Caenorhabditis elegans: one gene and its partners. Each later gene encodes a partner of the first gene's protein in a complex. Each region holds a gene or a part of one and is shown on either strand. Other genes may lie near its edges. A codon is read from its position in the direction of its gene.

Region 1 (9,829 bases):
ATACTTACTTCACACCTGCCTGCGTACGTGTCCACCTCATCCCTACATCTTACGGCTTTGCCGACTTGCACAACCCCCCTCAATACCTACTCCCTGTCTATCTGACCACCAGGGCAACCAAGTTGCTGGTTGCCGAAAATTGGAGCGTATGGCAACTAAACAATAACCGAGTTCTGATTCTTACCTCCCATCGTGTCATAAACACGTTCAATATCAGATGGTGGAAATGTGACATCTTCTGGATATCGATTATCTTTTTTTCCTGGTTTTGTTTCCTCTGAAATAATGAATTTTGGAGAGACAGATACAGAGAAAGACATACGTTTTTGTCCATTTGTCGAGTAGTTCACATTGACAGAACCCAAATGATTAGGATGACAGATTTGTTTGCAGATTTCGATTGGAAGGAGAATTTGCAACGCCTGAAACTAGTAAAATTAAATAACTTTTTATGAAAACTTTTCTATCATAATTTGGGGCATTGACCAAAACCAATTTTTTCTAAAAATAACCTTATCGAATGTTTATTTTTGTATCGGAACATTATAGAAGTTCGAAACTACAGTTTATTCGTTAGTTTTTCATCATTTGACTTGAGAGTCGTGATAGTACTTCAGAGACTCTTCGGATATCTACAGTAACCTACAAGTGTATTGTATGTGTGAATATAATGTTTTGTAGAAGTATCCAAAAGAGAGGTGTTCAATTCACAACTATCGAAAAGGGCAATTTCTGAAGAGTTGAACTTGCCTCGTCAATCAAATCGATGATTGCATTATCCAAATCCTGTATCGTACTCCATAGTTGAAATGCGTTGAAAACCGAGTAAATGGTACTCAACAACGCGATGAAGCAAAGTGCAGAAGCTACAATCCATAATCCAAGTGCCAGTTTATTATAATGAAAATATTCACACTGGTGTTGCTTGAGTAAGTTATCGATCGTTGTTGTCTGAAAATCCGATTAACATGAGAACTGCTAATGAGGTTCCCAGCCACGATGCAACTAGATTCCACTTCAAATTAAACGTGTCAAGTATTAAGAAACCATCGGTGCATGAGAATGTCTACTTTCTGGCGCGAAAATGGCGGCAGGAGAGATTCTTCGGATATCTAGAGTAATCTAATTGTAAGAACATGCGGCGATGAGAATTTAGGTACCTTCGCTACGAGATATTCCCGCGCCAAAACGGTAGGCATTCTCATGATCTCATGGTCTCTTAATAATTTCTCTTATTTTCTTCTGTGGCATTTTTGAGTCCTAGACTCTTTCAAGTACTATATGTGTCCCCATTCACTCCACCTTTAAGATTCACAAGATTGAAAGTTTCACAACTTACCGAAATTATTGCAGTTGTAACATTTGAAGAATTGTTCATTTTTGAATAAAATGAAGCAGTCACTTCGAGGAATGAAACACTAAATGTGAAACACTACATGGCCAGAGAAAATTTGACCTTTCAAAAGATAAATATTTATACGTGAATTTTGTTTTAATTTTTTGCATATAAATCAAAACATTCATTTATTAAGTAAAAATATATAATTTGTAGGTTAAAAAAACAACAAACAAAAGTTAAAAAAGGGGCTCATTCATATCAAATCCATCATCATAGTGATCAAATTTGAGATCAGCTCCAAAATCTTCATCATCGTAATCTACGAATTCGCTGTCGTCTCGCTGGAAAAACGATTTTTAACCGGTGACTTTAGAGCCTATATTAATGTAATGTAACTCAAGCTGCATTACTGCTATCCTGTTTCTACCGTAACACTCACCGTAAACTACTAAATAGATTCATTTAAAGTAATGATGTTTTTGATACATATTTTTAACGGGATAGTCAGAGTGTCTTCGTTTTTGAAAGTATTTTTATACAGAAATAAAACTAGGAAATGCTAGTGACGTTAAATTTCCAAAACCTTGTATAGTATATTTGTATAGTGACCAGTATCATAATATTATTTGTACCAATCAACGAATAAATTGTTAAAATAACTACGATCATACCTCAACCATCTCCAACCATTGTGCATTGTGCCATTTGAATCTCTCTCCAGCTATCCGTTTTGCCCATTCTTTTGAATGTTCACCCATTATCAAAAGGGCATTATCGCAAACTTCTCGAACCACTGCGTTTGCATCGTGCATCAAATCGATCATATGGGCTCCGAGAGCTGAATCTTGAGTCATCAGGCGAGCAGATAGTTCCTTTGAAAAATTTATATGAGAGTTGAAAAAACTCTAAAACGTTATACCTTGTGCTTTAAAAATTGCAAGAAAACGTAGAGAAGTTGCACAACAAACTCATCATCAATTTGGCATGCTGAAAAAAAGATTGCGATATTTTTCAGTAATTTATTTGTATTCTCGATACACCCAAAAAAGATCAAAATGACACCAGTAAAACACTTCAAAAACGTTAGATTTTAAAAAAGATTTAGCTGAAGATTTGTTAATTTGCCAATTACTTCCAAAAATATGTACTTTTTGAGTAATTTTGAACATTTTTACATGTTCGATTTCCTAGAATGTTCAAATACAATTGAAACACAACTAGTTTCAATAATTTCCATTTTGTAATTTACCAACTGGCAAAGCTCCACCTTTAAATCTGATTGTGAGGAAAAATGAACTTTTATGTTTTCAAAAGTTACTGGGGTTTTATTATGAAACAAACTCTTAAAAAATAACTTAAATTTATGAACGTACATTGTAATAACTGCACAAATGTATCAATCAAAGGAGCCAATAACCTAGCTGCATCCAATTGCCTAGCCATTGTTCCACAAGCAATTACAATTTGTAGTTGGAGAGGTTTTATGTCTCGAAGTACTGTCACTTCTTCGGATTCATCAATTCCTTCTTGAAGTTGAGTTTTCATCCAAGGAACAAGATTTTCAGATTGAATTATTCTATAATTTAAGTTTTTGATTGGAATTCCGAACTCAAAAAGCTCACTTTGCCCACGGAGCAACTTTGAGCTCAGCAACTGTACCCATGCATTCTAAACCAAATGAAGATTTTGACTCTGAGTTGTCTGCTCCTTCATTTTTTGCAATCCCGATAAGAGTTTCAATCCACTTCTGAAAATTCTAAATTTAAATAACAACGTTCATTTTTTTTCGTTATCTATTTTCACCGTTCAATAATAATTCAGTTCTCAACTTACCAAAAACATATTCTGCGTCGCACCTTCGTGACTTGAAATCGCTCGAACAACCTTTATGAGCATTAGATCTCTCGAGTTGATAGACATTTCCATAAGAAGATCTAATCCTTGACCACGTTGTCCACATACCAACTGAGCATTTCGTTTTTCGAGGCAAATATTCAACAGGACTGCTTTTGTCACTTCACTTCCTGTTCCACTTAGCACATCTTTCATTAGCTGGAAAAATGTTTTTTTATGAATCATATCCTCGTAGCAAACGTTGGAAAAATCGGTGACTATTTGCTATGTGGCGTTATATTTAGGTTTAACAAAACATAGACCCGAGGTAAGTAGATTTTGTCTGAATTGCTATTTCAATAATGTTCAAACAATTTCAAAAAAAACAATTGATTCACAAATAAAGTAGCTCAAACGACAACCACTATTCGAATGCAAACTTGAAAATAATATCAAAAAATTTGAAAAGTTTTAGTATAGGATTGGTTTTTAACAATTTTCCACTTGCGTTTTTCCATCTTTAATGTATAGTAACTTTTCGACTATCTCCTTTGATTGACCCAACTCACCAATTTAATAGCATCGGTGTATGCTAACATTGCTTTTGCATCATCATTACAACTTAATAAATACATCATATTCAATGCCTTCGTGTCACTGTCCAATAGAGATGCCATATGTGGTACAAGACCTCCATTCACCATTTTTGGTAGATTTTTGGAGTCAAATGAAAAATTGAAAAGAAGCATTATAACTGCTTTTCGCAGTTCTGGATCTTGAATTGGAAATAGTTTCAAAAGTTTTTCGATTGTTCCATTTTGTTCCATTACAATCTTATTTTCATCAAAAATACTTAATTTAAGAAGAAACTTGATAGTTGCAGTTGTTAGTGAACTTGTAGATTCTGATGACATTTGGAGGCATCTAGAAATGTAAAATGAGTGAATGTGGTGTTAATTATTAAAGGTGGAGAGATTAAAAAAAACTGTGAAAAGTGTTACTATGATATTTCAGCATTTTACAATTTCCTCACTAACTGCGCCTTTAAACTCACTTGACAAGAAGTGCCACCAAATTTCTTCGGACCATTTTCAATTCGACACTGATATCCGTGGCTAGATTGGTAAGAAAAGTGACACATGCTGGAATTGAACCATTTTCAATGTAATATGTACAATTGCAACAAACCTGCCAATAGCATCGCCTGTTTTCGAATGGCTGTTTTTAGTTTTCTCAATGTCTCTTGATCCGTCTTTTTCATCTCAGCAATCCAAAAATCGTACCGTTTTGTTTCATGTTCCATTGCATTTACACATAAAGTACCAATCTGCAAATCTAGCTTTTAAACGAAATTCAGGTGAAGTGAAGGCGTTTAGAAACCATGCATGCCTTGTGATGAAGCAGAATTCCGTGTAAACATGAAAACTTGGAAATATTCACAAAAAGGTTCATAATATTGGTTCCAACTTCAAAGTGTTTCTTCCAGTCTTCTCGGAATACTCTTGCCAGTGCCATCATAAGAGTTTCTGAAATGTAGTGTTATTTGAACGTTAACTTTAATACATAGATTACGTCCGAAAATTATGGTCATCGGGTAAGCTTTTCTAGAATTACCTACCATTGTTCACAAGCTGTGTGAGGTTTTGAGGATTTTTTGAAAGTTCATAAAGTGCCACGGCTCCTTTGTTTTTCTCAACAGAAGTTTCACCGTAGAAGCATTCTATGTACTCCTGAAAGATACATTTTTAATTTCAAAAGTAGTTTTTCAAGTTCTATTTGGTTTTAGGCTCTCACCATAATAAGAAATCTGTTTTTATATAAATGTTGAATGATGTATAGAAAACCATTCAAAGATTATTTTAAACTAATCAGATTATTTTCGAAATAAATTTTTAGATTCTAAAATATTGGTACTACCGGATACAAAAGCACTCAAGCGAGCTTGGTTTTGTTTCAGCTGCTCCATTTTAGAACATGTAACAATTAATGTTTTCAATTTTGATATAGCCTATGCGTATTTGTAAAATAAAACCAAATGCTCCTCAACTTTACGTAATCTACAAAATGTTTTCTTATAAAACGTACATCTATTTTCCCTAATTCTGCACTAATTGTAGGACTATGAATAGGCCTTCGATCAAATGAAACGGCCGAAGAACTTCTTGATCTCGCACTTATTCGTTGATTTCCTCTTTTTTGAATGTAGAACAAAACCTGCTCCAATTGACTTCGTGACGTGGCAGGAATGAAAAGACATTTTTGAAGAATAACATTTGATAAAGCACGAATATCTACATCCAGACTCATTTCTTTCAAGTGGATTCTGTAATACAATTTGGGTAATTTTGTAGCCGTACAATGTTAGATGCAGGTGACATTTTGAGGTTCTCATATATATATATATTCGATTATTATTTTTTATCAGTTATTTTCCAATATTCTAAAAATTAAAGAGGCATGGATTCATGGGGAATGGGTCTCACAGCGAGCAAAATGCTCAAGTCAACACTTTTTGCTATTTTCGGTCGTGCGTTTTCTGTTATTCGGGGTTTTGTGAGCAATTATTAAATAACTTTTCTGTATCTTGATTGTGGTTTTTGCAACAGAAAAAATTTAAAGTGTTACCATAAACATTTTTCGCGGTGAGACCCATCCGAAAGAATACGTGCACCTTCGTGGGCATACGGTCTTAAAAATATTTTATTTTATTTTTCTTGTTAAGCAGATTTGCATTCCAGTTTAATTTTATATTTTATATCAGATTCTTACATTTTTTGATGGCCAAGAGACTCAACGTTCGCTGAAGAAGCTCGCTTTTTTATTGAAATTCCTGCTGAAGAACCTGAATCAAACTTCCAAATAATCTTCGTAACACATTCAATTGAAAATAAAAATATAAAACTTACTAGGAGATTGTTCAAATCGTACAATAATTGCCTGATCTGACGGGTGTGCATCTATTGAAACTTGATTCATTGAGCTAAACACGGAAAATCAATCGAAAAAACTCAAAAAATATTTCTCTTCATTCTGATTACCTATTATAGCTTACTGAAGAGCCGGGGCGGAGCATTTCTGAATAACTGACAAACGACAGAAATCGATGAGACGGCTCGAGGAGCACTAGTCGTGGGGGATGTCTGTTCGTCTCGCACGCTCTCCTTGGAGACGTTGCACTCGTTGTAATAAGAAATATTGCTTACACGCTTGTACCAGTGTTCTATTTTATTTGTTCGGAAAACTTTAATGAATTAAATCGACAAATGGGGGTTTTAACAATATAAAATTGAGAAACGAAGAGTACGGGATGGACGAATGAATGGAGGAAGGAAAGGAGTGGAGATTGATTGACATCATAAACATTTGTTTTAAATATTTAGACCATTTAGAGAAGTAAAATTTGATACTGTTTTAAGAGATAAGTTTAGCAAAAAAAATTAAAATTTGGAATTTAAAAACGAATAAAATGGGGATTGTTTTGATGAAAAATTGAGCCAGCAATTGGTGAGGAGTCATTAGCTCTAAATGGTCCACAGAGATAAAGAGGAAGGGATGTTGACAACGAAAGCTTGAATTGAGAGGAGATTCGCCGGGACCACAGCATCTTCTCGTGCCAGCCTAGATCATAATGAATCGAATTTAAACTTTTTCGAAACTATGTTTAAAATCAAAATTAATGTACACAACTTTTTGAAGCCGATTTACGAGAGATGGCCGAGGCCTCTTGGGGCGTGAACAACAAAGAAAAGGTTAGGTATTTACAGATGATAGATAAATCGACTGATGATTACTTCTTGGCACCCTTCTTTGGTTGCGCAGCCGGTGCGTTTCGTGGTGGGGTGACTGGTCTATTTGAACCAACTCCTCCAGCACCATATGGATATTTCTTCTTGTCTGCTGGTTTCAAGATCTGAAAAAAATATTCCGAATTGTTTTATTTTAATGTTTGATAGGTAGTTTTAGCGTTTAATAAATCACCTCAGACAAATGCCTCAATTTCACCCCGCTTAGCGGCAATTTCTTCGAAGAACTCGAATAGATAGCCAAAATAGACTCGTCTGATTTAACCATTGCATCATTGGTGAATGCATACGCATTATCAGTATTTAAAATTATATAGATGGTACCGCTATGTTTACCTGGAAAGAGCACATCAGTGTTTCATCGACAGTCATCATCGATCCCGCGTTATCAAACTCTCCACAATAATTAGGAGCGCTGAACAATGTAACCAACTGCCGCTTAGCGAAGAATTCGTAACCGTCTTCCACAACCTGAAAATTTCTCGGTTCGCAACTTTGCAGAAAATCTTAAGTAATACCTGGTGAGCTCTGCAAATCAAATCCAAATCGTGCTTGTGCAGGAATTTGGCAACAACTTCTGGTCCGAAAGTGAAAGAGACGCCTCGGTCGTTTTCTCCCCAGCCAGTGACATCCTGAAAATAAATGGTAATCATTCATTGAATTTTATGTTCACAAACGAACTTTATCAGGATCTGACCACAACAGATCGCACAACAATCCTTGATCTGGTACGTCTGTCGGCCTCATGATACGACGAATTTGCTCCATAGACTGAAGATCTGGAGAAAGTCCTCCGTGACAGCAGAAGATCTTTTCGTCGATGATGGCGGCAACTGGCAGGCAGTTAAAGCAATCGGTGAACGTCTTCCACAGTTTGATGTTGTATCGCCGCTTGCCTAAAAACATGAGATTTGAATAAATCTGTACTAAGATAATCTCAGATCAAACTCTTACACTCGTCATAGAAGCCATAAATTCTGTTGATCGAGGCACACTCGTGGTTTCCTCGGAGCAGGAAGAAATTTTCCGGGTACTTGATTTTATATGCAAGTAGGAGACAGATAGTTTCCAACGATTGTTTCCCTCGGTCCACATAATCGCCGAGGAACAAGTAGTTCGACTCTGGGGGGAATCCACCATACTCGAACAGTCTCAAAAGATCGTAGTATTGTCCGTGCACGTCACCTGAAAAATATATTTTCTCAGAATATATATTATCAAAAATAAAAACGGCAATTTCCTGTGGAAGGAAATACTAATAAGTAAAATGACTCATAGCAGGAAACGTCAACTTTTTTCGATAGAACTTACCGCAAATTTTCAACGGAGCTTCCAACTCGAGAAGAATAGGTTGGCTCAGAAAAATTTCACGAGACTTCTGGCACAACCCCTTGATCTCGCTCTCTGTGAGTTGAACATTTTTCCCTGGTTTGGATCCTCTGACTGAAGCGGAAATCATTTTAAGATTAATTTCAATAAACACTATGACAAACACATACCTTCCAATAATCTGGAGATGATATTGTCCAGATTAAGCTTTTCTACGTCCATTTGTTGCGAGAAATCGCTCAAACAACCCAATTAGATCTGCAATACGAATAGAATTACCTCTTTGAGATAATGTCAATCAACAAACGTGAAAATACGGAAAATTTAGAAAGAAAGTTTGATAATTACGTCTTTAAATCGCGTGATTACTCGAAAAGTTGATAAAAACAGCAGCAAACATGTCAAAAATCGAAAGATATTTGGAGGCGACAGGGTCAAAACGAATGAAAAGAGTGGCGGGTCTCGCCGCGAAAATGCCGCATTCAGCAGGGTACGGTGGCCGGTGGAGCGCTTTTACATGTTCTCATTTTTTCTGAATTTATCCGCTAATTTAATGATTTTGAATCTGTTTTTCTACATTTTTTCTTCTTGTTAAAATTAAAAAAAAGGGGACGTTCAAATTTTCAGAACTTCATTAGTATTGAATTGAAAAAGAGCGCGCGAAAAGGATTAACTTGGTTAGAGGGCTTTGAAAGTTGAATTTTACATTGAGGAAAATATTTCTACCATTATTTAGAAGATAAAGCTTAAAGTTTCTCTTTTCCCTGAAATTTTCACTATTTGTCAAAAACGGGGCACATATAATCGAATGATGCGCCAATTCGTCACTTTGTTTTCGACCAAGATGGCAGAGAAATTGGTTGGTGGTGAGAGATTGAAATGTGTAAATATAACAAATACACTGTTCTTCGTTCACGATTTGTCAGCAATTATGATCAGATGCAAAAACATGGGGAACAAGATGCATTAAATCTTATTAAGTGAAAGTTTAATAGATGAAAACGTAGTTATAAGAAGTTTATTTAGCATATTTTGATAAAACTTTTACTTATGAATCATTTTGAAATATGAGATTATTATAGTACTCAAAAGTTATATATTATTTAGCTAGAAATATATGAACACTTTGGTACTTCTGCATCCATGAATTCGTTCAGAAAATATATTGAAGCATTAGTTAGAAAATGAGCAGTGAGCATTTAAAAAAATCGATTGATGTCTAGTCAAGTTCAATAAGAAATAAGAAAAAAGAAAAATAGTTGGAGTGAGAAAAATCAGCAAAAAAGATGCGAGAAGTGTGGTGCTCATGGAAGCCTTCTTCTCCATCCTCCTCACAACTCCCTCCATTTCTCTGCGTCGCCTGTTCCCTCTAGTCCCTCGTGACCAACTGCAGTTTCTGTCGTTTTCTCCCCATGTCATGTCTAGCACACGTGAGAAGTGAAAAGAGAGAAAGAGAAGGGCATGATTTCGATTCTTCTGCCGCTTTTCTGTCACTGGTAACAATGCACCTTTGTCGGATCAGACA
Region 2 (10,296 bases), on another chromosome or scaffold:
TCGATTTTTTCTCCCACTCTGGCAGTTTCTTTGTCATCACTGGACGAGGGCATTGGAATGGGAGATGATTCATGTGACAATCCACACATCCTGCAATAATGACATTATTTTTTAAAAATGTTAAGATGATATGCTTACCAGGAGTAAATATCATATCCTTTTCTTTATTAGTTGGCTTAGCCTTGCGGCCACGTTTACCATTTGACATTATAGTTACCTGAAAATTCAAAAAATTAGATATTCAAAAAGGTATAAATATAATATAAATGCGATTTGGTAAATACGGATGTAATGGGCAACCCATTCTATACAGGAAAACCAAAAAATTCCCGCAAAATTATTTTTTTCCGAATAAAATGATCTACTTTGTTTTATGGTGCCGCTCTATGTGTTATGACCCTTCGATTAGTAGATAGAAAAGAAAAAGGAATGTACGAGAATATCGTTTATTATTTATTATTTGAAAAATCCCAGAGACATAAAAAATCACACAGAAAAGGGAAACAGTATTTCTGACAATGTTCAAAAGTTTGGTTTCAATCAGCACTAATAATGTGAAAGGTAACCGTATCAATAGTGATATTTTCTTATTAAAAAACTGTTCGAGACTACAAGAAGGCCTGAAAAAGCCCGCAACGACGACTAAATTCGAAATTTCGAATTAGGTTTTAAAGATCAGAAGATCGGCAGAAAAGTATCTGATAAAAATATAAGAAATCGGAATAGGAATGCGATGAGGAGGTAGAAATATGGTGAAGAGATACAGAAGAATGAGGTAAGATCGGATGAACTTGAAGCACTTTTTGAGATTTTTGATGGTGAAGTTGGTGGATGTAGACGTTTCATGGAACATCTGAAAATTAAGATTTTTCTAAAACACATTTTCTATAGAATATAATAGAATGCCAAATAGAGAAACTAGACTTACTTGAATTTCTTTCGATTTCTGTCTTTCAACCTTCTAACTGAAATCAACTTTCGACGTGTTCTCGGTGTTTCAACAACACCATCAACAGAACACTCAGCACCAAATTCAGCATCGGAATCATCAGAAGAAGACTCATCGGAATCCAAATAGAAATTGGATTTAGTATTCATCAATTCAAAAGAATCCAATGATACTGTCGATTCAGCAAGTTGGACTGAACTTGATGGTTGACTACGAACCCATTGAGGGCGTCGAGGCAGAAGTCGAGAGTATGAGGATGCAACGTGGATTGATGATGACGTCAACAATCTTTGGTGTTGAGATGAAGAAGTGGCTGATGCAGATGTTGACAGACGGAATGGAGATGAGTGAAGAGCAAGAAGACATCTGAAAATTTGAAACGTTGTTTATGTGGACAGTACTGTAAAGATCTTACCTTGGATCATAACTACTTGCCCTCTGTTTTCTCTTCTCTTGACTTCTACTTAAAAGCATTTCCGTCTCGATTCTCCGGTTACTTGAAAATCCAACTCCAGAATTTTCAGCACAAAGCTGCTCTCCCGAACCGTAGACTGTTGCACCACGTTGAGGGGTTGACAAGGATCTGAAATCAGATGTTTAAAGCATGGCAAGTAGAGCAACAATGTTAACCAAAATTTCTGAAACTTTTTCGAATATAGTCAAAAATTGACAATAACTCAGTTTCACCTATCATAGTTTTGGAAGTCAACCAAAAATTTTTGAAATTTCATAAAAATTCCAAACTTTCTAAAAATTTGGAAGATTGATATGATTGATATGAAAGTATTTATATATTTTTTAACCTGGCAGACGATACTTCACCATTAAAGACACACATGTGGAGAAGAATTATTTTACTTTTAGTAATCCAACGTTTGCACTTACCTTGGAGCATGCAAGCTTTTAGTCATTAAAGCTGGAATTCTAGATGGAGTTCTTCTTGGTGTCGACATTGTTGAAATAAACATTCGTGGTTCATTGATTGATGATGACGTCATAGAACCACGCCCAGATGACAATGGATTACGGTAGTCATCAGAATCAGTAGATTCATTCAATTTTCTAGTCATTTCTTCTGTTTTCTGGAAAATTAAATTTTAATTAAAGATCTAACAAAAATCTGGCACTTACATTAATAAGATAATCAACATATTCTAACTCATTCATCGTTTCATTATTTTCTAATTCTGGCTTCTTCTCATCGAACCGTTCGGTGGCATTGTGTCGTTGCGGGCTTGACCGTTTTTTGAATTTCTGAAATGTTTTTCATGCAATTTTTGTTCTTATTTGTGTGTCATATACAGTGAAAATCAAAAACTAGTACAAACTAATTCCGTTTAGTAAATAAAAAATCGATGTAAAATCTCAGCAAAGCCAAGATCTTGGCGGGTCCTTATATCCAAGTTTTGTTGCCATTTTATTTCAGATATTCTTTTCGAAAGTCAGAAAATTTGAATTTAGAATCGAATGGACCCATTTCTTGTTTTTTTTTGTTGCATTTTTTAACTGTACTTTTTTCGTCAGCATATATTTTCACTATTAAAACAGAATATTCATGACAATAATTCCACAAAAAAACGTACTTTAATATCATAGTCGATTGGTTCAGAATTGGAACGAGAACCTTCGACGCGTCGATTGTCAGATTCTCGATTGATGGACGACGTGCTGACTGAAAATTTCTGGATTGAAAAAATATTCAAATGAAAAAATAAATGAGAAACTCAAAGTCTAAAAAATGAATGTTGTTAATAACGAATATTTCTGATGAGAAGAGGATAGAGAAAAAAAACGAGTCTAATAAAATGCATGTGATATCCTGCATAAAAATCCCTTCTTTTTTCACTAATCCTTCGCTCAATTCATTCAAATAGAACTTTGATTTCTATTAGAGTTGAGGTTGTTTGAACAATTTTAATAAATTAACAATAAGCCATAAAACCTCGAAACGTACCATCATCATTGAGTTTGAAAAAGTGGACGGATCCGAGTCAGTCACCTCTGGAACAAATCGTTCCAGAGCACTGAAAACGACAACGTTCTCCCCACAGAATCGGATTGTCTCCTCGGGAATTGTCGCCTCGACAAACGATCCTGAACCTGAAAATTTTCGATTTTTGTAAGCTCAATGGATTTTAAACTGAAAATGTAGTCAAGAAGTCAAGAAAAACTGATGGAGTTCTAAATTCGGTGTTAGGTTTTGAAAAGATCGTCAAACAAACAAATGCATAAAACTAGGTAGGGAACAAATAGTGAAATAGAAAAATGAAAGGCGACAACTGCCGGGAGCAAGAGTACACACAAAGAAAAAAAGTTGCGGAAGAGCACAGAGAGCGTCAGTCCATCAGAACTGCATAGATAAATAGATAAAGAGAAACATGAAACATAAGGCCACCCGGGAGAGACGACAGGCCAGTTTTCCGGTGAAGATGAGAGTGCGAGAATTAGATAAGAAAACGGAAATTGTGATGAAACTTTTTCAATCCAAACTTCTAGAATTATAAGAGACACCTAAAGTAATTAGATAAGTGTTTTAAGTGATATTTTAGATTCACTGTATCATGTTTAAAAAAGATATTTCAAAAATATATACCTGATATAGGAGGCCTCCTCTGAGCACCGAATTGTTCTCGAGCTGTTTCCACGAGCATCCGCTCACACATTGACATAGGCCGTCGACAGCCAGGAGTTGCCACCTGAATAAATAATTATTCAATTTAAACCTAATTTAGTAATGGTAACTTTGTAAATGATGGTGGATAGCTCATATAAAATTTGAATTGGTTCTAAAGTTATACAAATTTTAATTTCGGTCAAACTTATGAACTGTACTTTTGAGTTATACTATTACAATAATATTACCCAAATTATTGTATTCAGATTTTTGTAATCAGTACTAACAGATTTTAGGCAACGTCCTGCCAGAAACATGGGAATATATTTGAGCAGTTTTTAGTAAGTTGCCACAGCTTGTATAAGGGAATTGTATCAAAATGTACTTAATACTTTCTAAGCACTGACATAGTGAACTACAAAAGTCGGTATTATACAATGCCACTACAAATAAAAATATTCAGAATTCGACTGAAAAATGAGAAAAGGAACAACTGAATTGGACACACGATGTCGTGATTTTCAAGAACACAAAAAAAAGAAAAAGAAATCGAAAATGTTGTTTGCCTCTTTTTCTTTTTCTATATGAGCTAGAATCTCGAATGCATGCCTAATGGAGCCACTCGCTCTCGTTTCTCTAAGTCTCTTCTCACCAGTCTTTTGTCCAAAAATTGCGATGTCGCAGGCGTCCCGTTTCCGCCGCTCACGGAGACACCACTATCGGCACCAGATGATCGTGTAAAGACACCGTCTTCGTTGACTTCAATTGCTGAAATAAGAGGAATTAGTTTTGAATTGGAAATCTGATTAAATAAAAGTCCCCTATTCAATCTAATTAATTTTTAAACACAAAACTTACTATTGTTTAATGGTGTTGACGAATTAGAAGAAGTTGATTGAAATGCGTTAACATTCCATTCAAAGCTATCTTCATTCCATTCTGCTCGTTCTTTTATCCTTTCACTCACGTCTCGAGGGATGAAGTTTTCAACAATAAGAAGCCTGAAAACTTATATTATTCTATTAAAAAAAATGAACATCAAATCCTAACGAAAGAAAATTCTTCTGGGGGGAAAAGGAGAGAATTGTGAGAATAAAGAACCTGCGCTGTCGGTATCAAATTACACTATTTGAATTCAAATTAGAATACGAAAGAAAGTGAAAGAAATGAAAATGAGTGAGAATCTATTAAATTGTAATTGAGATATCACTGAACTTACTTCAACTTCAATTCCTTGCTCACTTCCGCAATTGTCTGATCCAGATCTTGTCGTTCGTCGGAATATGCTCCAGACACATCACGAATCTCATTGCGAGCCTGAAACATTCACAAACCTTATCTTGACACCTGGTACATCTGAAGTCAAACCTGTCTCAACTTTATCAACATCTTCTTTAACTTTTTTGTCTTTGCCTCCACCTCTGTCCTTAAATCCGAAAATGTTTGTTTCAAATCCACAGTATCCTCTTCCTGCCGTTCCAATGCTTCAACCATTTCTCTTTCCCTTCGTTTTTGTTCGGCAAGTTCTCTTCTCTTCTTTTCCAGTTGTGCATGTTGTTCTTTTGTCCTTGATTCTAACCTTCCATCTTCTTCAGATCCTACGATAAGTCGACTTTGAATGTTTGCTATTCTTTCAGCAACCCGTGCTTGTTCTATCCGTTCCTTTTCTAACAGATCATGCTTCTCTTGAATTTCTCTTATTAATCGATCCTTTTCATGTTTTATCAGTGAATCATCTTTTTGAATTGCTTCAATATCATCTTCAAGTTTTGCTCGTTCAGCATCATAAAAACTTTGAGTTGCTCCATCCCTCGATCTTGTCTTTCTCTGCTTCAGTTGCTCACGGAGCATTTCAATTTCTTCTTGGAATTCTCGCAGTAAAGCATCCTTAGGATCTTCATTAATTTTCGGTTGATTCTTGATGTTTTTAGCTCGATTTGCATATCGTAATGTACCAAGTGTCTCCTCAAAATTGTAACTTGCAGGTCCAATACAAGCAACCATAACTGTCTTTGAATTTCCACCGAGAGAATCTTGAAGAAGTCGAGTCAGTTTTGAATCTCGATAAGGAATATGGGCAGATTTCGCATCCACCAATGCACTGATTACATTTCCAAGAGCCGATAATGAAAGATTGATTTTCGTAGCTTCTTTAAATCTTTCGCCAGTTGCTCCTGTTTTCGATTGCCGTTCTGAACCAGCTAAATCTACAAGATTTAGTCGACCAACTGTAATATGACTTTCTCCGTCTTCACCAATTCGGGAACATTCAACAGTAATGATAAAGATAGCGTGGGAACGAGACGAATGCTCATTCATGTTGGTTCGCCTGAAAATTTTAGTAAAATCAAATCCAACGGCGACCACAGAAATAACTTACCCTACAGACCGATGCCCATTTCCTCGAATCATCACTTCGTGTATTTCACCTACTGTCCTTGTTAATTTTGACTGAAACTTTGAAATTTATAGTCGTCTTCTATTTCAGAAAACTATCACTTACCGTTAAATCTTTCACATAAACTCCTCCATCTGGACGTTCTTTAATTTCTAATTTCTTATTCGATTCGGCTTCTAATAAATCTCGAAGTTCCTCCTAAAGATTTCATTTTTGTAAATCACACATCCTAACGCCTTACCTGATAAATTTCCAAATAGCTAGCTCTAACTAAATACTCTTGATTATGTGATGCTGCCATGTGCTCAAAAATATGGTCAATACACTTATAGATGACACCTCGTTGTTCTGGATCCGATGATTTTCCTTCCATTGTGTGAGTCTTTCCAGTTCCAGTTTGACCATATGCAAAAATCGTGGCATTATATCCGTTTAGAACCGAATCAACTAGATCTCGAAAGGTTTCTTCATATAGATCCGATTGTGTGGAACTATAAAATATATATTTTTAAAAAAGAGAACTCATAAAATCATAAACATAAAATTGTGGAGAAATAATTTTGAAAAATACTAATATTTCTATAGCAGGTGAAAAAAAAGTGATGTACTCCTAGAAATAAATAATCTTACTTTTCATCATAAATTGCATCGAATGTAAAATCCTTCGATGGCTCATCTTGCTCTTTTGGATTTTTCAGCTCAATTTGCCCACGTTGTGGTCGCATATGTACTATTCTGAAAATGATCGAAATTTCAAAATATAAATATTTCAAACTTTACTTACTTTGAATAATTATTTGCAATTTCTTGTGAAGATAACGGTCGACATCTCACAATTACCTGTAAACATAAATAAATACATTTATTTGAATTTGGAAATGTATAAAACTGGATTATGAAATTTTTAAGCTGGTGGTTTTTGTATGAGAAGTAACGAAAAAAAGTACAATTTACTTAGAGTCTTGTGATTTTTCTTTCAAATGCAAAACTCAACTGAATCATAAATAGTGATGCTTCGAAAAGTTTTTAGAGGAAAATTGTATTTTTAGTAAAAACTAATATACGTTTTGGACTTAAAAAAAAATTATGTTAAAACTTGAAAAATTACGTTTATTAGTGCTTATATTAAAATACGGTTTCAAATTAATTTAAAATTAAAATAACTCACCTTTTGGTCAAAATCAGACATTTTAGAAACTAGCATGTACTTTATTACGTTGAATATAACTTATGTTGGAAAATGGAAAATTTGAAGACAGGTGAATTTTAGTTTTTTTTCTTTTTCGTACTTCTAAAAAATACTTCATTTATTTTACATTTTGAGAACTAATTTTTGAACATGTTTCGAACAAAAAAAAAGATTTTGAAAACCCCAAAAAAACTTACTTTGACAGTCTCCTGTTTTGAAGATTTTTTCATTATTTCCACCATTTTTTGTCACTAAATATTTGGCTATCAATGTAGGTGTCAAGGAAAATTTTGGTGCATTCCTGATTTAGTGAGAGTGGTCTGGAACTTAAGAAGATTAGTTTAATGTGGAAAAATAATCATATTGTATCGAGAAACGGAATTTTGAAGCAATAACCGCTAGAGAAAGTGACTAAAAACCAGAAATTGTAGTCGTGGAATTTCAATATTTTTGGTTTTATGTCACATCTGGACAATCGGAAAAATATGCATACATTTGAAATTTTTAGAAATATTTTGAATTAACTTTAAAGGAAAAAAATGCATTAAAAAGATTGAAAACATCATTGACGTTGAAAAATGGAGAAAATTTCTAATTTCTCATCAAAATATTAAAATATTAAAGTTCTTCAATAATATGAAAATGTGAATAAAATGTCTAAATAAGCAAAAAAAACAGATCCTATTCATTATAAAATGTTCACACAAGTGTTACATTTCGTACAAAGAAGTACTAAAACGGATGGACTAAAGTAATATTGTCACTCCCGAAAAGACGAGGAAGAAGTAATCGGAAGAAGATGTCGGAAGATGAGTGATAGTAAAAATACGAAGAGACGCAGATAGAGAGTTTGAGAGAAGGAGACTTCTGGAGGAATAAAAGGTGGTTTCAAGATGGGGGACAGAGAGGGAGAGGGTTAAAAGAGCACAAAATGTGCATAATATCGATCCTGCGCAGTTGAGAGACGCAGACAATGTGAAGAATGGAGCATATGTTTCTAGTGAACACTCAGAAGTAGTTGTTCATGTGTCCGAAACTTTGGAAACATATACATTTTAAACTTGACGTTTTTGAATTATAAAGGGATGGAGGTGCTTCAAAAAGTAATCATAGACATGTGTAGATTTTAAATTAAAACACAACTAGACATAGGATGAATCAGAAGCTTACCATAACATTGTTGATTTATTTAAAAATGAGAAAAAGTAAAATTCCGGATAGTCTTCTTTGAAAAAATTCACAGAGAAGTTATAATGTTTGATGATATTCACTGATTTGTAATACATTATTAGTAGCATGGCTTCTATGTATATAGACTATTTTTATATCACATACATGAAAAAGGGTTAAGGCATGCGCCAGGGCCTGAAAACGCATCTACCTACCAGGGGAGCTCTAGCTCTTAGTTATTAATTCAAGAGACTTTTGAAACTTGATTTTTTGAGATTTTATTCAATGATTGGTTTAAAAAAAAAGATTATTTGCAAAAATTACAAATTTTAATGTCTATACTCTGACATCGGTTTAGAACAATTTTAGACAGGCTGCAATGAAAGCAATGAAATAAAATTTCCTTGAAATTATAATAGAGAATCAGTAAAATGTTGCAGATTATTTGAAAATGCATGCAAGAATTCGCAGAAAATTCAGTGAAGCAGAAAAGTGCGACAGGAGACCGAAGTCTAAAAAAGTGAATTATGAATAAAAACAAATCATGTGACTGGATATAATTGAAGGTCTTGATTCGGAAAAGATAATTGGAGCTCTTTGCTTAGGCCAGGCTCTAGATATTTTATTGAAGCTTTTCAGAAATGTTCAAAATTATCAGGAACAGTTCTCTTTGCACTTTCTCTATGGCTCAACTACCAGGGCTTTTCCTTTTTCTTCAAAAAGTAGAATTTTAAATTATAATTTTAAAATTTAAATACCAAGCAAAAAATCATATACTCATCATATCATGTGATCATATCATATAATCATATAGGGCTCGTTCTTTTTTTTTTCAAAAAATTAAAAATTTACTAGAACCAAGCATATGACAATAAAATATTTTGAATTCACTTTAATGGGAAAAAAACAAGAAAATTTCATTAACATTATTGAAAACATCGTTGGCAATAGGAATGTAGAAAATCAAATCAAAATCAAGTGAGATTAGGAAAGAATCGAAATTAGGTAGAATTGGAAAATCTCGATTTTTTAAGTTGGATTCTTACACGATTTTTTCGGGATATTTTTCATTTTTATTTTGTAGTATTTCAGCCTAGACGGCTGAGAATTCTTTTCAAACCTTCCAATTTCAAAGAGATTCTTCCATAATTTAATATAATTTTCATTCGATATTAGCATCCATTATATACGTATGATTCCCCTTTTAAAATCGATTCTCCTTTTCAACTGACTCATCACTTAAGAATTGTTGAGTCATCAACTGATAGTGAGCAGACACCAACAACCATCTCTTTAGTTTCCGTTCCGTTTATTTTATTTTGGAATCTAACATATTCAAGAAAATTAACTTGAAATTAGAATAAATGTTTCTTGCTAGATTTTTTTGTCATAAGTATTTCTTATTTGGATTATAATTTTCATCTCGAAATCGTAGAGAGTTTTTCACTATTTTTTTTTGAGTTCTAAACACTTCCTTCCTCATCGATGATGAAGTTTTTGACAAATCAACTAGTTTTTTACTCATATCTCACATCAATCTATGATTTTATTCAAAAACAGTTAAATTTTTTTAACGAAATTAAAATGGTCATCGGACCGAGCAAAAGCTTTCAGAATCAACTGCTTCTTTAAATTCTTTAAAATTCAATCAACTTTTCGTGTCCAAAGTCACAAACTACACCTTTCAAAAAATATTTCTACATTATTTGCCCACATCTTGGCACAGTTTTCTTGCCATTCTTCAATATTTTCTTCTCTGCGTTTCCCACACTCTTATTTTCTGACTGTTGACTTTTCCATTGTATAGACTCAATTTTACTTTCGTTTTTTCAATTTTTTTTTCTGCGAAGTTCGGTGTTAAACCTCCATTTTGCAATATTAAAAATTTCAATATTGCCCGTTTTGGCTTGAATCTATTAAAATTATGCTGTTTTTTTTTCAGAAAGCACCAAAACATGCCAGATGATATTCCAAAA
Region 3 (10,497 bases), 7.1 Mb from region 1:
GGGAGTGGAGGTGCTCGGGGAGCTGCTGGCAAAAAGTGGGCGGAGCCAAAAGATGTCACTGCAAATTCAGCGTAACATTGATGGAGATGAATATGTACCTGAATTTAGTGTATTACGAGTATGAAAATTTTGAAAAATTTAGAAAAAAATACGTCAAGAAAAATTAATTTTGAATTCGTCATTTTTTGTGACAAAAATTTTTTTTTTGGAAAATTTTTTTGTCAGTCATTTTTTTCTTGAAAACATTTTTTGCTACAAGCTGAAACTAATTTTGTCAAATGCACAATTTTTTGAGCTTTCAGAAAAGTATAAATACTATTGGCTCCGCCCACTTTTTGGGGAACAAAATTTGAAAAAAATCAGAGAAAAATTTAATGAACAACTTTTTTTTTTCCAAAATATGAAAAAAAAAAAATTCAAGAAAATAAAAATTTCGGCTTGTAGTTTGTAGTTTGTAGTTTGTAGTTTTTAGTCAGCATTTTGTAGTTTGTAATTTTTAAAGCTTACAATTACAGGCTTCGCCCTTTTTTATTAGGGGAAAATTTGAAAAAAAATCGAATTAAATTTTCCCCGAAAATTTAGGAAATCCAAAAAAAGTTGAAATTATGATTTGTAGTTTTTAGTGTGTATTTTGTAGTCTAATATTCGTAGTTTGTAGTTTTAGAAGAATGTAAGTTAGGCTCCGCCCACTTTTTGGCTAACAAGTTAGGAAAAATCAAAACAAAAATCGAATCAAAAACTTTTTTTTCCAAAATTTGAAATTCCAAGAAAATAAAAAATCCGGTTTGTAGTTTGTAGTTTGTAGTCTGTACCATGTAGTTTGCAGCTTTCAAAAAAGGTACTAGGCTCCGCCCACCTTTTTCTTTGTCAAAAAATCAGATTTTTTCAACTTTTTTCTCAAAAGTTGAATATGCCAAGATAGTGAAAGCTATGATTTATAGTTTGTAGTTTGTAGTTTTAATTTTGTAGTTTGTAGTTTGCAACAATTTCCTAAAAATAGAAAACCTGTAAGCTCCGCCCACTTAATGGCAGAGTTTGGAAAATAATTTCTCAAATTTTGGGTCAGAAACTTACCCCAAAACTGAGAAGTTTTTCAGTCAAATTAAAATTTGTAGTTTGTAGTTTATAGTCTAGCTCACCTGTACCAGTTATGTGAGCAATTGTTGTAGTCGAATTGATGCTCGATGTCTGCAAAAAAATCTATAAATAATAAAATCAATCGGTTTTACAAACTTTTTGGAGCTCGTCCGTGGCCTGTGCTCGGCGGTTGATGCACCAAGATCTGCACGATACGAGTAGTACATTGGCACCGTTTGGTTGTTGTTCTGGAAATATTTGGTTACTTGAAATGTACAGCAATCGATAGAAAATCAAATTCTAAACCATTTTGTAGTTCAAAGTTTTTCGATAGCTCCTCTCCTTGCGGAGTTATGCCCCTTCAAAGTTTGAGCGGCGAGAGAGTGTGGGAGGGGGAGAGGCGCAGCGTGCGCGCGCCGTCTGCGTCTCCCCCTCCCCCGCACTCTCTTGCCGCAAAAACTTTGAAAGGGCGTAACTCCGCGGGGAGAGACGCTAGAAAAAAATTTTCAACTAATAAAATGTGCAAAATTTTAAAGCCTATAACTTCTGATAGCTCTGCTAGTTGTTGAAAATATGAGAAAATGTAAATTGTTCGAAATGCAAGTTAAAAACGTAAATTAAAACTGAAAACCAACCGAAAACTCCTTCTTAGCCGGCGGCGCGGAGGCTCTCATATTATTTCCAGTATAGGCAATTGCTTTGAGCTGCCAATCTCCGTGCTCCTCACTCCAACTGACATATTTCTCAATTAGCTCCACGTGCTCCACCGGAATGTACTCATCGATTATGGCAATATTTAGTAGGAGCTCCTGAAAATGGATTGACTGTTAAAATTTAAAATTTTCAATTTTTCATCGAAAATCATAAAGTTGGAATTCTTAAACAGAAAAAAAATGTCAAAAATTTTTTTTTCAAAAATGTAAAATGAACTTTGTGAATTCTTGAGTTTTTCAGTAAAATTTGTAATCATAAAATCTTGAAACCCCACGTGGTGCCAGGCTGTCTCATTACGGTTTGATCTACAAAAAATGCGGGAATTTTTCGCCTAAAAAAATGTGGCGTCAGAACGCTTTTAATCATGCGAAATCAGTTGAGAACTCTGCGTCTCTCCCGCATTTTTTGTAGATCTACGTAGATCAAGCCAGAATGGGACAGTCTGACACCACGTGAAAGCCTCGATTTTCAGAAAATTCAATAAAATTGCTATTTTTCCAACGGGGAAATCCTGAGGTTTCATGGTACATCCTAAAACTCGGTTAAGCCTAAAAAGGGGCGGGGCCTAAGTAGGTGATCCTAAAAAATTATATTTATTTTTCTAGACAAAAATTAAAAAAAAAATATTAGGAAGAAAAACATTTTTCGTAAAAATCTGGGAAAATTTTTTAAAAATCCAAAAAAGTGTTTTCGAAAAATCAAAAAAAAAAGTGGGCGTGGCCTAAGAAAGTGGCGGAGCTTAAATATTTATAATTATACTTTTTTAGAAGCTATATTCAATTTTGAAGTTATTTTTGAAATTTGAGTAAAAAACTTTTTTGACGAAAAAAAAATCTGAAATTTTTTTTAATCCTAAAAAGTGGGTGTGGTCTAAGAAAGGGGCGGAGCTTAAATATTTATAATTATACTTTTTTAGAAGCTCTGTTTGATTTAGAAGTTTGAAAAAAAAAACTTCTTTGACGAAAACTAGTTCTGGAAAATTTTTCAAAAAAAAAGTTTTCGTAAATTCAAAAAAAAAGTGGGCGGGTCTTAACAAAGGGGCGGAGCTTAAATACTTAAAATTGTACTTTTTGAGACGTTCTATTCGATTTTAAAATTATTTTCGAAAATTTAGAAAAAAAAATTTCACAAAAAAATCTGGACAAATTTTTTTAAGTTCAAAAAAAAAAATTTTTTTTAATTTTTAAAAATCTATTTTTGACTTTTTTTTCAACTTTTTTCAAATTTCTAAAAAATCACTAACTTTTCTCAACTGGCGAATATCATCCAACATAGCTTCCACCTGCCTCTGATGGTCCTCTTCCAAATCCTTAAGCTCCGCTCGAGCATCCTTCAGCTCATTGCTAACTTTTTTGATTTTCTTGGATTTTACAAAGGCTTCCTCTTGTAAAGATGAATACCTCTCCTCAATTTCCACTTTTACAGCCGTCCGTTCTTCCAATTGAGTTCTGAGGTGGGCCTCCTGGAATTTGGATTGCTCCAGCTCTTTGTTGTTCACTTCTAGAAGTTTCGCTTGCTCCTCGACTTTTTCCAGTAAGTTTTCACCTCCCACAATAAGCTTTTTCTCGATTTTTTCTAGCTTTGATCTGAAAACAATAAAAAATTCATAATTTTTCGTTTTTTTTGCAAAAAACCACAAAATCTCAAATTCCAGCAGTGCTATCAAAAAAGTTATAATAGGCAAATTGTAGCCCTTAAAATTTCCCACATTTTGTCAATAGAAAACTTTTTTACATCTCTTCTCCGCGCTGAGTAACACCGCTTTAAAAATTGAGAGCTGAGAGAGTGTGGGAGGGGGAGAGACGCAGTGTGCGCGCGCCGTCTGCGTCTCCCCTCGCCTACACTCTTTTGCCGCACGAACTTTGAAACGGCGTAACTACGCAGGAAGTAGAGCTGGAAAAAAGTTTTCAACTGACAAAATGTGGGAAATGTTAAGGGCTATTTTGGTAGGTCGTGTAGTTTTTGACATTTAAGAAATTTTCCACCACAATTGTGTTTTTTTAAATCTTTTTTTGGAGTTTTTCCGTAAAATAAGTAAAAATTGGTAAATTAAAGATACATTAGCCTTTTTTAAAAATATTTTTAGTTTGTTATCAAAAACTTGTGGAATTTCTTTTTTCTGAAGACTTGCAATTGTTTTAAAACTTTTTCTCAAAAATTGTCAACAATTTTTTGCGAAATATCTTCAAATTTTAACTTTTTGAGATTTGAGAATTCTTAAAATATATTAAAACTCATCAGAAAACAAAAAAAGTGTGAAAAAAAAAGTAAAAAATCATAAAACCTCCCCAAAATTACATTCAATCGATAGAAAATAAAATTCTAACCATTTTTCCTTTTGGAAATTTCTCAAAAGCTTGATTTCTCGTTGAGTTATGCCCTTTCAAAGATCGAGCGGCGAGATAGTGTGGTGGTGGGGAGACGCAGACGGCGCGCGCACACTGCGTCTCGCCTCTCCCCACACTCTCTCGCTGTGCAATCTTCAGTGGGGCATATCTCCGCGGAGAATTGAGCTATCAAAAAACTTTCAACGGCAAAAATGTTCAGAATTTAATTTTCTGCACTTTGTACAAATTTTCATATTTCTCACCTCAATTTCTCATGCTCACTCCTAGCTTTTTTCAATTCCGCCTCATTCTCCATCATCTCCTTCACCAATCGATGCGTCTCCTCATCGTTAACCGCCGAATTGACCCGTTCCTCCAGAATTTTCCGCTTTTTCTCCATTTCCACCTCCCTTTCCTGCATTTTCGCTTCCCAGGCCTCTTCTTGATTCTCATCGTCGCCGGGATTTTCTTCTGAAAAACCGAAAAAAAAATTCAGATTTTCAAATAATTTTATGGCTTACCATCCAATATTTTACGCAAAGCCTCAATTTCCAGCTGAAACTTCCTGAGCTGAGCATCCTTGGGATCTTCGTTGATTTTCGCGACGTTTTGAATATTCTTCGCACGATTTGCGTATCTCAGCGTGGAAAGCGTCTCGTCATAATTGTACGTGGCAGGCCCAACGTTTGCAATCTGAAAACTTTCAAATTTTGATAGAAAATTAAATTCTCTACATTTTTGCAATTAAAAATTTTCTCATAGCTCCTCTCCCCCGCGGAGTTATGCAGCTTTGAAGTTTGCGCGGCGAGAGAGCGTAGGGGGAGGGAAGACGCAGGCGGCGCGCGCACACTGCGTCTCCCCTCAACCCACACTCTTTTGCCGCAAGAACTTTGAAAGGGCATATCTCCGCGGGGAGTAGTGCTAGAAAAAAGTTTTCAACTAACAAAATATGGCAAATTTCAAGGGCTATATGTTCTAGGTTGTAAATTTTTGATAGCAATCAGCTCTAAGGAGTTATGTGAGTCAAGGGAGTCTAGGTACTGTGAAACTGTTCAAAAACCTAAAAACCTAAAACCACTCACCATTACAGTCTTCGAATTCCCGCCCAACGAATCCTGCAACAACCGCGTCAACTTTGAGTTTCTATACGGAATATGCGTTGACTTCCCATCCACCAGCGAGCTTATCACATTACCCAACGTGCTCAAGCTCAGATTAATCTTCGCCGCCTCCTTCAACCGCTCTCCTTGTGCTCCAGTTTTGCTCTGGCGCTCTGAGCCGGCCAGATCGACAAGCTGAAGCTTTCCCTGGGTCACCAGGCCATTCCGGCAGGATTCAATGGTTACCGTGAACATTGCATGGGATCGGGAGGATTCCAAATTCATCGCCGTGGCGCCAACTTTTCCTGAAAATCATATCAAAGTTTATATTTTTCAGCCAATTTTTGTCAGAAAAACTCACGATTTTTGCTGCCAAACTCCATCAGTGCCTGCATCTTCGAGGCATTCTCCACAGTAGGGTTCGACAGGTTTCTGACGTAGCTGGAAATTTGGAATTTTTAAAATTTTAAAAATTTTCAGTAGTTTTCAGGCAAAAACTTACACGCCAACATCCGGTCTTTCCTTAATCTCCAGATTCCCGTTGTGATCCTTGGAAAGGAGGTCTCGAATCTCTTCGTTGTAGATTTCAAGGTAGGATACGCGGACGAGGAATCTAAAAATTTGTGTTATTTGATAGAAAATAAAGTTTTAAACATTTTTGCAGTTGAAATTTTTTCGATAGCTTCTCTCACCGCTGAGTTACGCCCCTTCAAAGTTTGCTGGGCGAGAGAGTGTGGGAGGGGGAGAGACGCAGGGTGTGCGCGCCATCTGCGTCTCTCCCCCTCCCACACTCCCTCGCCGGCGAAACTTCAACGCCGCATAACTCGCCGGAAAATGTAGTTATCAAGAAACTTTTTATTGCAAAGTTAATCAGAATTTAATTTTGTATCAATTAGAAATCTTCTGATGCTCTGAAGCATGTTTTTCAATTAAAAATATATTTTCCAAATGTTCGAAGTTTATCAAATTTACAGTGAATAGGTAGAAAATAAAATTCTGAACATTTTCGCAGTTGGAACCTTTCTAGCTTTCCTTTCCGTGGAGTTATGTCTCTTCAAAGTTTTCTGGGCGAGAGAGTGTGGGAAAGGGAGAGACGCAGACGACACGCACACACTGTGTCTCCCCTCAACCCACACTCTCTCGGCATCCAAACTTCAAAGCCGCGTATCTCCGCAAAAAACAAAGCTATCGAAAAGTTTTCAAGTACAAAAATGTTTCAAATTTTATTTTCTACCAGGATTCTATATTTTTAAGACACTTTTCCTCCCAATTTTCAAGCAAAAACCCACGTTGTATCATGCTGGCACTTTGCGATGTGATCAAAAATGTGTGCAAATGAATTTGGAATTATTCCACGCATCTCGACGGGCTCCAAGTCCCCAGCCATTGTGAAGGTCTTACCAGTCCCTGTTTGACCATACGCGAAGATTGTGCCTGAAAATGAATTTGAGATTTTTTACAGATAAATTTTTAGAATTAGTCGATAAAAAATTAAATTCTACATATTTTTGCCGTTGAAACCTTTTTGATAGCTCAACTCCCCGCGGAGTTATGCCCTGTCAATGAATTTGTGGAGAGAGAGTGGGAGAGGGGGAGAGACGCAGGCGGCATGCGCACACTGCGTCTCCCCTCCATCCACACTCTCTCGCCTCGCAAACTTCTAAGCTGCATAACTCCGCAGGGAATTGAGCTATCAAAAAGGTTTCAACTACAAAAATGTTCAGAATTTCATTTTCTATCGATTACCCACATCAAGCCACTCACCGTTATACCCCTTGAGCACATTCTCCACAATGGGTCTCGCCGCGACGTTATACACCGTCATTTGATCCGTATTCGGGGAGAAAACAGCGTCAAAGTAAAAAGTTCGTGGGGGATCCTGGAAAATTCGAACAAATTAAGGCTCTATAAAATACAATCTGAAATAAATCAGGGCGTACCTCCTGGCTCAGGCTCTTAATATTCACAGCCTTCTCCTCATCGTTACAGGTGACTGCAATTTTATGTCCTTGAAGTTTCTCTGTGGTGGATATTGGACGACATCGTACCACTACTTTCACTTTTTCAGCACCTTCCATTGTCTGAAAAATGGGGAAAAAATTAGCGGGAAATTCAAATTTTTCAGAAAAAAAATTATAAAATCAACGCATTTGAATTTGAAATCAAACAAAGTTTCGAAAAAAAAATTGAAAAATGGCTGAAAATTTCAGAGATTTGAAAATAAAAAAAATAAAATTTTACCGCGAAATTATAGAGTCGAGAAAATTTCAGATTAAAGCAAAGTTTAAATTTTGAACTTTTGAAAAAAATTTGGCTATAAATTTCCAAAATTTTTCGAAAAATTCAAAAAATTAAAATTTTTAGTCTATTTTAAGCTAAGCAAGGAAGGGGAGGAGCTTAGTCAACAAGGTAGATCAAAAATAAATTATGAGAAATTTGTGCGATCGTATTTTTTCGATAATAAAATAATATTAAAATTTCGAAATGCCAAAAATTTTTTTTTTATTCTAAAAATTTCAGCATCAACTTCAAACAGGGGTAAGAATAGAAAAATTTAAAAAAAAAACATTGCAGCTAAAATAGAAATTTTCAAAATTATAATTTTGACGGAAAATTCAAAAATTCGGCACCAAATTCAAACTTCGAACATTTTCAATATTTTGTTCAATTATTTCATTAAAAAACGTACTTTTCAGTGGGAAAATTCAATCTAAACAGTTCTTGAAATTTGACTCTAAATCTTCAAAATCAACCCAAAATCCCAAAAAAAAATTTCCAAACATTCTCAGAAAAAGTCAGGTTTTTCTAATACAATGTAAAAGTAGCCTCAAAACTTGAGCAGCATAGTAGTAGTAAAATGACCAGTTGTCCCCGGAAACCAATAGAGAGTGTAACAGCCGTGAGAGACGCAGGGACACCCAGAAAAAGACAGAGGAAGGGAGAGTATGTAGGGGAAAGGAGAGACGCAGAGAGTGAGCCGAGGGTGTCCACTAAATGGGGGTTCTAGTAGCCGTCTGGTATCGAATTTTAGTGCAGAGAGGGGACATCCTGGCATATAGGCACAAAGATTGGCTGCGAAGAAACCAAAAAAACCCGAGTTTCAACATTTTTCAAAATGGATAAAAACTAAAATTTTAGAAAAATAAACAGAAAATTAAATTCTAAACACATTTGTATTTGGAATTTTTCCAACAGCTTGATTTTCAGCGGAGTTATGTAGATTTTAAGTTTGAGAGGCGAGAGAGTGTGGGGAGAGGAGAGACGCAGTGTGCGCGCCGCCTGCGTCTCTCCTCCACCCACACTCTCTCGCCTCGCAAACTTCAAAGCTGCATAACTCCGCGGGGAATTGAGCTATCAATAAGTTTCCAATTACAAAAATGTTTAGAATTGTATTTTCTATCGATTTACTGTGTTTTTGGAGGGTCCCGTCTGTTCCACACTTCCGGAATGTACGTCACTTTGAGGCTGTGATGTTTAACTAAATTTTTGGGAAATTAAATTTGCGCTAAGCACTTTGAATAATGAAAAAACAGAACAACAAAAGCTAATGGAAAATGGAAATACAAAGGTCGAAAATTTCAAATTTTAGAAGAAAATTTGCAGATTTTTTTTTCAGAAGTTACATGATTTTTTTTTTCATTTTTTCGCATTTTTAGGCTTAAAATTGAAAATGTTGTAAAAAATGTTGCGAAAACTGTCCAATTTTCGGAGCAAAAATCTCCAAATTTTGACCTAAAAACTTAAAATTTTAAAGATAAATTAAATACATTTTTAGGCTAAAATAATTTATTCTTTAGGAACAAATTTAGCTAAATTTTCCACTTTTCAAGCTTATTTGCTCAATTTTTAGGGCAGACCTCTTCATGTTTTAGACAAAAATTATGCAATTTTTATGCTGAAATAGTCCAATTTTCAGGCTAAAATTATCTAATTTTTAGACTGAAATTATGCATTTCTTAGGCTAAAATTATCCAATTTTTATGCTGAAATTATCCTATTTTCAGACTGAAATCTCTACTTTTTATGCTAAAATTATCTGATTGTTAAGGTAAAAATATTCATTTTTTAGGTTCAAATTAACCAATTTTCAGGCTAACATTATCCAATTTTATGCTGAAATTTTTACTTTTAAGGCTAAACTTAATTAATTTTCTAGTGTAAAACTCGAAATTTAAACTAAAACATTTCAATTTTCAAGTTGAATTTTTCAATTTTTTAGGCCAGCATACTCACATTTCTCCCCAAATTTCCAAAATATTTTACTCGAAAATTCTCCAACAAAAGCTACAGTGCACTCTCCCGCTCAAAGCCCAAAAAATCTCAAAAACAAAAAATGCTCAATTAGTATGATTTTTCTTCTGTATTTACAAATAAGATTGACCCCCAACAAATCGTATAGTCAAGAGGAAAAAATATGCCAAAAAAAAAAAAATTGAGAAGGAAATGATCATCGTGAGAAAAATATAGTGTCTTCTTTTATTTTTTTTGTTCTATTATTATTATTACTACTATTACTATTTCATATTTTGACACTTTTGGTGCTTTAATTTTTTTAGATTTTTCAGATTTTTTTAACCCAAAACTTGTGAAAACCTAAAAAAAAAACTGTCTCAGAAAAATGTGAAAAAATTTTTTTTTTGAATTTTTAGGCAAAAATCCAGCCAAATTTTTGCAGTTTTTTTAGCAGATATGAGAAAAAACCCAGTGCTGGATCTAAAATTTTTACGCCTGCCTTGCGCCTAGGTAGGCATGCAGGCCTGCCGGAGGCAGGCGCTCACCTACTCAAATCTACAATGGGAAAATTTAGCAAAAAAGCATTTTTTAAGGGGTTTCCGACTAGAAATTTCCAATTTTGAGATTTTTTTTCAGCGGTGTTGAAATTGACAACACATTTTGCTCACTGGAATAAATTTCGAAATAATTTAAGGTTTTTCTTAAATTTGTTTGCAAATATTTTAAACGAAATTATCAATTCGGTTTTTAAAAAATTCAGCGGTACTGAAATCTGAAATTAACAACATATTTTGCTCAATTCAAACGGCACTTGTGAACATTGTAGTAATTTTTTTTTAATTGAAAAAGTGAGCCAAAAGTGTTGTCAGTATATATTTTGCTCTATTTTAGCCCGTCTTAACCGTACAACTCATTCATTCAAATATTTTAGGTTTCTCATATATTTAAGAATAAGTTCCCTTGTTTAAAAAAAACCTTGAATTTTCAAAAATTCTCAAAAAACTCCCCCTTCTAAACCGGTTTCCCCACCACCCTGTTTATTTCAA

The links.
Region 2: the proteins of kap-1 (region 1) and klp-11 are in contact, whole or in part, in a crystal structure (PDB 9IKB), measured with the Caenorhabditis elegans proteins. Residues at the interface, in NP_001367739.1 of Caenorhabditis elegans: Pro155, Gln156, Thr159, Ser197, Lys198, Phe199, Ser200, Cys201, His203, Thr263, Asn264, Thr267, Ile269, Lys304, Leu307, Lys308, Ile311, Phe312, Met345, Phe348, Asn349, Phe352, Lys378, Asn381, Tyr384, Leu385, Cys388, Asp390, Lys393, Glu416; in NP_001369897.1 of Caenorhabditis elegans: Phe567 (codon at 4,545), Pro569 (codon at 4,539), Lys644 (codon at 4,224), Arg645 (codon at 4,221), Leu646 (codon at 4,218), Val647 (codon at 3,645), Ala648 (codon at 3,642), Thr649 (codon at 3,639), Pro650 (codon at 3,636), Cys652 (codon at 3,630), Arg653 (codon at 3,627), Arg654 (codon at 3,624), Pro655 (codon at 3,621), Met656 (codon at 3,618), Ser657 (codon at 3,615), Met658 (codon at 3,612), Cys659 (codon at 3,609), Glu660 (codon at 3,606), Ile679 (codon at 3,549), Val686 (codon at 3,035), Glu687 (codon at 3,032), Ala688 (codon at 3,029), Thr689 (codon at 3,026), Ile690 (codon at 3,023), Ile695 (codon at 3,008), Arg696 (codon at 3,005), Phe697 (codon at 3,002), Cys698 (codon at 2,999), Gly699 (codon at 2,996), Glu700 (codon at 2,993).
Region 3: the proteins of kap-1 (region 1) and klp-20 are in contact, whole or in part, in a crystal structure (PDB 9IKB), measured with the Caenorhabditis elegans proteins. Residues at the interface, in NP_001367739.1 of Caenorhabditis elegans: Ile269, Glu272, Leu273, Val276, Arg277, Leu309, Ser310, Ile311, Phe312, Asp313, Glu314, Asn315, Lys316, Asn349, Phe350, Phe352, Asp353, Lys657, Ala660, Gly661, Arg663, Phe664, Lys665, His667, Asn668, Gln670, Trp671, Met674, Val675, Asp679; in NP_497178.1 of Caenorhabditis elegans: Tyr557 (codon at 1,853), Ile558 (codon at 1,850), Pro559 (codon at 1,847), Val560 (codon at 1,844), His562 (codon at 1,838), Leu565 (codon at 1,829), Ile566 (codon at 1,826), Tyr569 (codon at 1,817), Lys582 (codon at 1,778), Ile584 (codon at 1,772), Ala585 (codon at 1,769), Tyr586 (codon at 1,766), Gln607 (codon at 1,316), Met611 (codon at 1,304), Tyr612 (codon at 1,301), Tyr613, Ser614, Tyr615, Arg616, Leu619, Ala621, Ser622, Thr623, Ala624.

What each region holds. Positions count from the first base shown.
Region 1 is NC_003281.10:7,335,320-7,345,148, reverse strand, and holds kap-1 (Kinesin-associated protein), read right to left. Parts: upstream 6,149-9,829; coding exon 6,079-6,148; intron 6,015-6,078; coding exon 5,942-6,014; intron 5,496-5,941; coding exon 5,258-5,495; intron 4,903-5,257; coding exon 4,791-4,902; intron 4,699-4,790; coding exon 4,553-4,698; intron 4,500-4,552; coding exon 4,361-4,499; intron 4,315-4,360; coding exon 4,227-4,314; intron 4,097-4,226; coding exon 3,742-4,096; intron 3,392-3,741; coding exon 3,173-3,391; intron 3,087-3,172; coding exon 2,962-3,086; intron 2,916-2,961; coding exon 2,713-2,915; intron 2,327-2,712; coding exon 2,259-2,326; intron 2,212-2,258; coding exon 2,011-2,211; intron 1,681-2,010; coding exon 1,576-1,680; downstream 1-1,575. Other genes in the region: F08F8.6 (uncharacterized protein), read right to left, coding at 185-277, 323-422, 751-951, 1,340-1,378; gsp-2 (Serine/threonine-protein phosphatase PP1-beta), read right to left, coding at 6,960-7,082, 7,312-7,446, 7,494-7,607, 7,657-7,871, 7,930-8,160, 8,287-8,418, 8,475-8,526.
Region 2 is NC_003282.8:8,754,605-8,764,900, forward strand, and holds klp-11 (Kinesin-like protein), read right to left. Parts: upstream 7,463-10,296; 5' UTR 7,393-7,462; coding exon 7,348-7,392; intron 6,802-7,347; coding exon 6,746-6,801; intron 6,697-6,745; coding exon 6,592-6,696; intron 6,453-6,591; coding exon 6,203-6,452; intron 6,160-6,202; coding exon 6,067-6,159; intron 6,015-6,066; coding exon 5,944-6,014; intron 5,893-5,943; coding exon 4,932-5,892; intron 4,881-4,931; coding exon 4,783-4,880; intron 4,565-4,782; coding exon 4,422-4,564; intron 4,332-4,421; coding exon 4,216-4,331; intron 3,646-4,215; coding exon 3,543-3,645; intron 3,050-3,542; coding exon 2,904-3,049; intron 2,622-2,903; coding exon 2,533-2,621; intron 2,204-2,532; coding exon 2,131-2,203; downstream 1-2,130. Other genes in the region: elli-1 (Enlarged germline granules protein 1), read right to left, coding at 1-90, 139-208; F20C5.11 (uncharacterized protein), read right to left, coding at 676-853, 929-1,315, 1,365-1,532, 1,835-2,031, 2,081-2,116; cdc-50.B (Cell cycle control protein 50A), read left to right, coding at 10,276-10,296.
Region 3 is NC_003281.10:218,218-228,714, reverse strand, and holds the start of klp-20 (Kinesin-like protein klp-20), read right to left. Parts: upstream 7,300-10,497; 5' UTR 7,297-7,299; coding exon 7,159-7,296; intron 7,098-7,158; coding exon 6,983-7,097; intron 6,653-6,982; coding exon 6,508-6,652; intron 5,832-6,507; coding exon 5,721-5,831; intron 5,660-5,720; coding exon 5,580-5,659; intron 5,524-5,579; coding exon 5,201-5,523; intron 4,883-5,200; exon of another isoform or gene 4,833-4,882; intron 4,812-4,832; coding exon 4,640-4,811; intron 4,590-4,639; coding exon 4,382-4,589; intron 3,378-4,381; coding exon 3,035-3,377; intron 1,887-3,034; coding exon 1,713-1,886; intron 1,326-1,712; coding exon 1,234-1,325; intron 1,189-1,233; coding exon 1,149-1,188; 3' UTR 1,140-1,148; intron 99-1,139; 3' UTR 1-98. UniProt on the Caenorhabditis elegans protein: Component of the kinesin II motor complex (composed of kap-1 and the heterodimeric motor proteins klp-11 and klp-20) which is required for intraflagellar transport (IFT).